Macaca mulatta: one gene and its partner. The protein of the gene in region 1 purifies or fractionates together with the protein of each later gene. This does not show direct contact. Links are inferred from orthologs where the notes say so. Each region holds a gene or a part of one and is shown in the gene's direction. Other genes may lie near its edges.

The links.
Region 2: the proteins of DCAF8L2 (region 1) and CUL4A purify together in Homo sapiens (affinity purification with western blotting; 3 studies listed by BioGRID and IntAct, with this or other methods). This does not show direct contact. The link is inferred for Macaca mulatta from reciprocal best matches to the Homo sapiens genes DCAF8L2 and CUL4A.

Annotation. Positions count from the first base shown.
Region 1 is NC_133426.1:27,584,513-27,588,625, forward strand, and holds DCAF8L2 (DDB1- and CUL4-associated factor 8-like protein 2), read left to right. Parts: upstream 1-1,354; 5' UTR 1,355-1,413; coding exon 1,414-3,294; 3' UTR 3,295-3,412; downstream 3,413-4,113.
Region 2 is NC_133422.1:107,452,831-107,457,111, forward strand, and holds the start of CUL4A (cullin-4A), read left to right. Parts: upstream 1-1,310; 5' UTR 1,311-1,325; coding exon 1,326-1,473; intron 1,474-1,667; coding exon 1,668-1,783; intron 1,784-4,281. Other genes in the region: PCID2 (PCI domain-containing protein 2), read right to left, coding at 297-332. UniProt on the Homo sapiens protein: Core component of multiple cullin-RING-based E3 ubiquitin-protein ligase complexes which mediate the ubiquitination of target proteins. As a scaffold protein may contribute to catalysis through positioning of the substrate and the ubiquitin-conjugating enzyme.

The DNA of each region.
Region 1 (4,113 bases):
TATTCCATTATATATCCATGTTATTCCTGATGGGCTTTTCAGTGGTTTTCAGTTTGCTGTGCTAGGCTTTACAAGTTGCTATGAATACTCTTTTACATATCTTTCTGTTACTATTGGCCTTGGAACCATCCGCTTTCTTTAGAAGACTGTGTACTTCTACTTTTAATCAATTTTGCATTTATCTTGCAGTTACTCTGAGGGAAACTTTGTTTTCCTCATTCTGGCATTCTTAGTTAGCAGTTTACTGTAGCCCTTTGAAAATATGCTGACATCACCTTAGATAATTCATTCACAGAAACTATTAAATTAACACAGTAATGCCAATTAATTGTCTCTGTAGAGCTGTTTTCTGTTCCTTAGAGGCCCCACAGAAACCTCTGACATATTGTGGGTGATATGTAAGAGATTTTATAGTTCTATGACATCACATAATTTCTTTTTCCATAAAATTGTGTTGGTGTTCCCTAAGTATCTTAAATTGAATTAACTCTAAATAAATATATAAGAACTCTAGTGGCATAAGAAAAAAAGGAAGTACTACTTCTATCTCAAATAGGTGAAGCCATTACTCATTTCAATGTCCACTTTCAATTGATCAGTTGATTTCAGCCCTCATTACACTGAGGGTCTAAATTCTTTTCACTAAAGGAGCCTGCCAGATGTAACAAATAAAAATAGAGGACACCATGTTAAATTTGAATTTCAGATAAATAATAAATAAAATTTTAGTGGCAATATATCTAATGTAATATTTGAGACCTACTCATACTAAAAAAAGTATTCATCCTTCATCTGAAATGCAATTAACTATGCATACCATATTTTATCTGGCAACCCTATATCGATTCTACCAGTTAGAGCACTCAAGGTTTCCCTCAAGCTGCTCGATTTAAGATATTTCTTGTATGTCAAAAAGTCACTAGCTGTGGGACACTTAGCTAACTTTTCACTGTTCTTGCCTACATCTTCATTTTATAGAGTACATTACCTTCAAGCAAAACACTGAGAGGCTTCTAAAAACTATTTTGCTTAAAGAGGATCACTTTTGCTCATGGTTCTCTAATAAGAACATTTTCCAAGGTGCAGCAAGTTTCATCTTCAAAAACCCGCAGCTACTCACAGTGTAAGATGCCTGTCGGGGTGGGGCTCTGGGCCTGGAAAACCTAGAGCAATCTGGATGCTGCGAGGAGGCGAGCAGGTAAGAAGCTTTCTGAACCTCATGGGATCCCATACTGGCAACTGCCTTGGCAGAATAGTTTATTGTCCCCTTTAGCCAATCAGATTGGCGTTTGATTGCCACGCGCTTACTTCCTTCACGACCATCAGTCCTAACCGCAGGCCAACTTTCTTCCCAGAGCTTTTAGGGGCCTGGCCTTTGCAGTTCCAGATCAACTACAGCAAAGATCGTTCGAGATGTCCCACCAAGAGGGAAGCACAGATGGCTTACCAGACTTAGGGACTGAAAGCCTGTTCAGCAGCCCAGAGGAGCAGTCTGGAGCAGTGGCGGCGACAGAGGACTCCTCAGACATTGACATAGCGACCTCAGAGCAGAGTGTGACAATGACCGGAGATGACAGTGATACCAGGGATGGTGGATTCCCCAATGATGTCGGCACAGAAAATCGAAGCTCAGACCGAGAAAGTGCAAGTGAAGACATCGAACTTGACAGCATGGAGGACTTTGAGCATTTCCTCATGAGTGGTGAAAGTTTATTCCATTACCCTTTGGTGGGAGAGGAGGAGACAGAAAGGGAGGAGGAAGAAGAGGAGATACAGGAGGAGGGAAGGGAAGAGGCGGAGGGAGGGGAGGAGGCGGAGGAGGAGGAGGAGGAAGAAGAACAGCCTCGGGCGGGTCCACAATGCAGTGGTGCCAACCATGAGCAGTACTTGTTAGAGGAGGATCGGGCGCTGGAGGAGTGGGTTTCCTCAGAGACATCTGCCCTGCCCCTACCTCGCTGGCAGGTCGTTACTGCTCTTCACCAGCGGCAGCTGGGTTCACGTCCCCGCTTTGTATATGAGGCCTGTGGGGCAAGAGCCTTTGTGCAGCGTTTCCGCCTGCAATATCGTCTTGCAGACCATGTCGGTTGTGTCAATACTGTACACTTTAACCAGCGTGGCACCCGGCTGGCCAGTAGCGGTGATGATCTAAAGGTGATAGTGTGGGACTGGGTACGGCAGAGGCCAGTACTCAACTTTGAAAGTGGTCACACAAATAATGTCTTCCAGGCCAAATTCCTTCCTAATTGTGGTGATTCCACCCTGGCCATGTGTGCCCGTGATGGGCAGGTACGGGTAGCAGAACTAATTAATGCATCATATTTCGAGAATACTAAGTGTGTGGCCCAGCACAGGGGACCTGCCCACAAGTTGGCTCTGGTGCCTGACTCTCCTTCTAAGTTCCTCACTTCAGGTGAAGATGCTGTTGTCTTCACCATTGACCTCAGACAAGACCGGCCAGCTTCAAAAGTTGTGGTAACAAGAGAAAAGGATAAGAAAGTGGGACTATATACAATTACTGTGAATCCCGCCAATACCTACCAATTTGCAGTGGGCGGACAAGATCAGTTTGTAAGAATTTATGACCAGAGGAGAATTGATGAGAAAGAAAACAATGGAGTGCTCAAGAAATTCACTCCTCATCATCTGGTTAATTGTGTTTTCCCAACAAACATCACCTGTGTTGTGTACAGTTACGATGGCACAGAGCTTCTGGCCAGCTACAATGATGAAGATATTTACCTCTTCGACTCCTCTCACAGTGATGGTGCTCAATACACTAAGAGATTTAAGGGGCACAGAAATAATACCACAGTCAAAGGTGTTAATTTCTATGGCCCCAGGAGTGAGTTTGTAGTGAGCGGTAGTGATTGCGGGCATATCTTCTTCTGGGAGAAATCATCCTGCCAGATCATCCAGTTCCTAAAGGGGAACAGAGAAGGTACAATAAACTGTCTTGAACCCCACCCTTACCTACCTGTGCTGGCGACCAGTGGCCTAGATCATAATGTGAAGATCTGGACACCCACAGCTAAAGCTGCCACTGAGCTTACTGGATTAAAGAAGGTGATTAAGAAGAACAAGTGGGAACGAGATGAAGATAGCTTGCACCATGCCAGCCTGTTTGACCAGTACATGCTTTGGTTCCTCATGCGTCACCTGACACAGAGAGGTCATCACCGGGGCTGGAGAAGTGGTGAAGCCGAATTTCCAGATGAAGAATCGGATGAGTCTTCCAGCACCTCAGAGACATCCGAGGAGGAGGGCCAAGACCGAGTGCAGTGCATGCCATCCTGAAGGCCTCATACCCCAGTCCAGCTAGATGCCACCTAAGTACACTGGACTTTAAAATTCAGTTTGACTAATTTAGAATTGTCAATAGATTAATAGATTTGCTTTTTGTCTTCTAATTTCCACAATATATGCTGAAAACCATCTCTTCCATTCCTTCCTCTCTGCTTTCCTTTCTTTCTTCCATACATTCCTTCTCTCATTCCTTTCCTCTTGGTTTCTTTATGCCTCTTTTGTTACCCCTTATTCTTACATGAGTGCATACGCAACTTATTTATGCCTCTTTTCCCTTGTTCCCTTATAGTTGACCTCTAGATTTTCTGAATTTTGTTGAAAAAATTAATACCCTTATTAGATGCATCTACTCAAATCTGACATTCTGAAAACAGTTACCTTTTTACTTTTTTTCATCTTTAACAATTTTTTCTGAAGATCAAGTTCTTCAGTTAACCTGAAAATTTCAGAAATATGTTTCTTCTTTAGAAGTAAAATAAGACAAACTATAGTTTTGTTCTGTCGATACTGACACTTGGCTGCACACACACAGTCTCAGAAAAGGAAAAGAGAAGTAGTGTGCAGATTAATTCCTAACACTTGGCCATGCACACACACAGTCTCAGAAAAGGAAAAGAGAAGAAGTAGTGTGTAGATTAATTCCTAACCAGATAATTCATTCCCTCAGAATAAATAACATGAGATTGTCTACATTTTCTGAATCCATATATTAATTTTTAAAAATTTGAGTACACTGTAGCTGGTAAGAATTAAATTAAATTTGATCACATGACATTGTTTACTCTGCGCATTAAGTTTTCTTAAAGTTTT
Region 2 (4,281 bases), on another chromosome or scaffold:
CGCGGCCACACACGCCAGCAATGAGGGCAGTGACCTGGAGCCCCCGCGTCTACTTACACCGCGACAACTCCGCGATCCACGGACACCGCCCGGCCCCCACGGCGGCCCTGCAGGGGAGCCCCGGCCGCCGCTGTTCGGCCTTTCAGTCGGCTCGCGCCGCTGCCCGCCGGGGACCCGGACAGAGGACAGGGGGCGAGGCGCGAAAGGAAGACGCCTGAGGGTCCAAGGCAGGAGGGGACACACGGAACACGCCGAGGGCCAGCCACACCGCCGCGCGCTCCCCGGCTAGGACCCACCTGCTGCAGGTACTGGTTGATGGTAATGTGTGCCATGGCAGCGCCGCCGAGCACAGAGCGCCACCCCCTACACCCCAAGCGGGACAGCTGGCGTCACTTCCTGCCCTCGGTCCGTCTGGGTCCCGGAGCCCCCGACCCCGTCTCCTGTGCGCAGGGTGGTTCCGGAGGGAGAATCCAGGGACCGGCTCGGCGACACGCTCGGGCTAAGGGGTCCCGGGGTCTTTCTGTCGGGCCCCCGTCCTCTCAGCCGGGACGCCAGCGACTCTGATTGTGTGTTCGGGCCCGCCCGGGCTGAGGGGTTTGGGGTCCAGTGGCGAGAACAGCCCCACTGCTAAAGTGCCTTTCACTGCGCTGTCCCCTCGACTGCCCCTTGTGAAAACGAGGCCGCGGATCACGCTCCGCGCCGGGCTGGGCCAGGGACTCGGGACGCGCGCGCCCGAGCGAGGGTGGAGGGGAGGGACATGGCGCGCGCTCCCGAGCTCTCATAAGGTGCCTCCGCCGCGCGCTCCCGAGACTTCAGAAGTTGGGGCACGTCCCGGCGCGCACCCCCAAGCCCTCGAGGTGGTCTCACGCCCCGGGTGCGGGTGCCGAACCCTCAGGAGGAGCGCTCCCTGGGGCCCTCAGGAGGGGGTCCCGGCTCCCGAGCCCCTCAGGAGGGGGCCCCCGGCACGCACCCCCGAGCCAGGAGGGGGTACCCAGAGCCCCGGGGGTGTCCCGGTGCGCCCCCCGGAACCGGGGCTGTCCCGATCCCTCGGGGGCGGGGGTGGGGGTCCCGGCGCGCGCCCTCGAGCCAGGAATGGGTGTCCGAAGCTCTTAGGGGGGGTCCGATCCCTCAGGAGGGGTTCCCAGCGCGCGCCCCTAAGGGCTCAGCAGTAGCCGGGCGCGGCGGCGGTTGGACTCGGGCACGCGGGCGGGGCGGGGCGGGGCGCGCGAGGAGGACTGGGCGGAGGCCGCGCGGACCGGGGCGGGCGGAGCGGAGCTGGGCGGGCGGCGGCGCTCGGGGCGGGGCGCGGCGGTTCCGGCCCAGCCATGGCGGACGAGGCCCCGCGGAAGGGCAGCTTCTCGGCGCTCGTGGGCCGCACCAACGGCCTCACCAAGCCCGCGGCCCTGGCCGCCGCGCCCGCCAAGCCGGGGGGCGCGGGCGGCTCCAAGAAGCTGGTCATCAAGAACTTCCGAGGTGGGTGCGGCGGCCGGGTCGAGGGCCGGGCGACCCCAGCGGGCCCCACGAGACCCCGCCCGCCCTGGGGGGAAGGCCCGAGATCCGTACGGGCCTCTTGAGCGCGGGCGCTGGGGCGCCGGCCGGGTCGGGGGTGGCGACGCGGGGCGCTTCGCGGCGCGCCCTGAGCCGCCCGCTCTCTCTCCGCCCTGCAGACAGACCCCGGCTGCCCGACAACTACACGCAAGACACGTGGCGGAAGCTGCACGAGGCGGTGCGGGCCGTGCAGAGCAGCACCTCCATCAGGTACAACCTCGAGGAGCTCTACCAGGTGAGGCGGCGGCCGAGGCTGGGGGCGCCGCTCCTGCCCCGCGTGACGCAGACGCGGCCGGGCGGCCGCTCCGGGTGCCTCGCAGGCTCTCGCCGGGGAGCGGAAAGGCAGGGCGTTTGCCTCCACTGCAGGGCCGGGAGCCCCAGAGGCAACAAGTGGTTTTGTTTATTGCCGTGGTGGAATTTTTGTTTTCAGGCTTAAGCTGCTTAGAACGATTCTTAAAGTTATCCCATTACCGAAGAGAAGGAGGTGTGTTTCTAGGAGCCACGTGACTCATATTTTGCAAGTATACAGCAAATTATTTCTCTCGTTATAAATAAAACTGTTAGTACTGTGTCACTTGCCACAGTAATAGGGTTTTTTCTCTGTTGTGTTTTGTGATTAATGGTTCCCTTTAAGATATTCAGATTTTGAAAAACTTCAAAATTCAAAAACAGTGCTTTTCTTCTCTGTTTTGTGATCAGTGGTTGCCTTTAAGATATTCAGATTTTGTAGCGTTTAATTCAAAGTGATGGTGTTCCATTTATAAAGTAACAAAAAATGGCTAAAAGTGCATTTTACCGTACTTGGATATTTTATTTACATGCGGATGTTTTTTTCTGGCGTCGTCTTTTTGTAAAACAACGTTCATTAAGTAGTCTGATATCTACATTTTGGGTCACGATGTGTCATACACTTATTTCTGTGAAAATACTTGAATTAAAAAAATTCTTTTCTGGATATGCAAGTGACTGCATTGTAAAAATTATAAAAAATATATAAAAGAAGACTTCAATCACCTATACTCCTACCACCCAAAGAAAACTGTTGACAGTTTGGTGTACATACACATCCATTCTTTGTCTGAAGTGTAAGTGAGTTATGTTTTCTTGTCAGCTTTGAGATACAGTCTACATATAATATGCACTCCAAGAAGTTTTAACAGATGTATATATACCGTTATGTAACCGGCACCATGGTCAAGATAGACTCTTCTTGGTAGAAAGGTAGAATATTTTTACCACCCCCGAAATTGCCATGACCACTTTTGCAATCAGCCCTCTCCCCTGACTCCTAACCCTTGGCAGTCCCCCATTTGCTTTCTGTCGCTATATTTTGTCATTTCCAGAACGTTATCTAAATGCAGTCATCTATTTTGTAGTGTCTGGCTTCATTCACTTAGGACAGTGCTTTTGAGATTCATGTGCACGCAATGTGATTGTAACTTGTTTATTACCTCATAGAATGGGTATACCACAGTTATTTTCTCCATTCATCAGTTAATGGACATTTGAGTGTCCATGTTTGGGGTTTTTTATTTGTTTCTTTGAGATAGAGTTTCACTCTTGTCACCCCAGGCTGGAGTGCAGTGGCGCGATCTTGGCTCACTGCAACCTCGCAGATTGAAGCGATTCCCCTGCCTCAGCCTCCCAAGTAGCTGAGATTACAGGCACCCGCCACCACACCTGGCTAATTTTTGTATTTTCACCATGTTGGTCAGGCTGGTCTCAAACTCCTGACCTCAGGTGATCCGCCTGCCTTGGCCTCTCAAAGTGTTGCGATTACAGGCGTGAGCCCCTGCACCGGCCTTGGGTTGTTTTAAATAAAGCTGCTGTGAACATCTGTGAATGACCCTTTGTTTGGACATACATTCTTATTCCTCTCAGGTAAGTTCTGCTTACTTCTTTATCTAGAAGTAAGTTCTCAAGGGTCATATGGAAAATATATGTTTACCTTTTTATGAAATTTCTTGTTTTTCACAGTGGCTGCCCCTTTTGTGCCTCTCCCAGCAGTGTATGGGAGTTCCAGTTCCAGTCCGCCACCAGCATGTGGTGTCCTCAGCCTATAATTTTAGCTGCGCTAGTGGGTGTGTGGTGGAGTGTCGCTGTGGTTTTAGTTTGCATTTCCCTCTGATGTGAAGCATCTTCATATTTACTTGCCATTCTATGTATCTTTTTAGACGAAGTGTCTATTTAAATATTTTGCTCATTTTTGTTGTGTTGGTTATTTTCTTACTATTGAGTATTTGAGTTTATTAAGTATTCTGGATACAAGTCCTGTATCAGATATTCGCCTTACAAATACTTTCTCCCTAGTCTTCAACTTGTCTTTTGATTCTCTTAATTGTGCCATTTGAAGAGTAATAGTTTTAAGTTTTCAGGTCACATGTATCAGTTTGTTCTTCTATGGACTGTACTTTTAGTATCCAAGAAATCTTGCCTAATCTAAGGTCACAAAGTTTTCTCTTATATTTTCTTCCAGACATTTGAGAGTTTTAGGTTTTACATTTAGGTCTATGATCTATGTAGAGTGAATTTTTGTATATATTGTGAAATATAAATCTAGAGTCAGAGCGGGTGCAGTGGCTCATGCCTGTAATCCCAGCACTTTGGGAGGCCAAGGCGGGTGGATCACCTGAGCACTCAGGAGTTTGAGACCAACCTGGCCAACATGGTGAAACCCCATCTCTGCTAAAAATACAAAAAATTAGCCGGGCGTGGTGGCAGGCGCCTGGAATC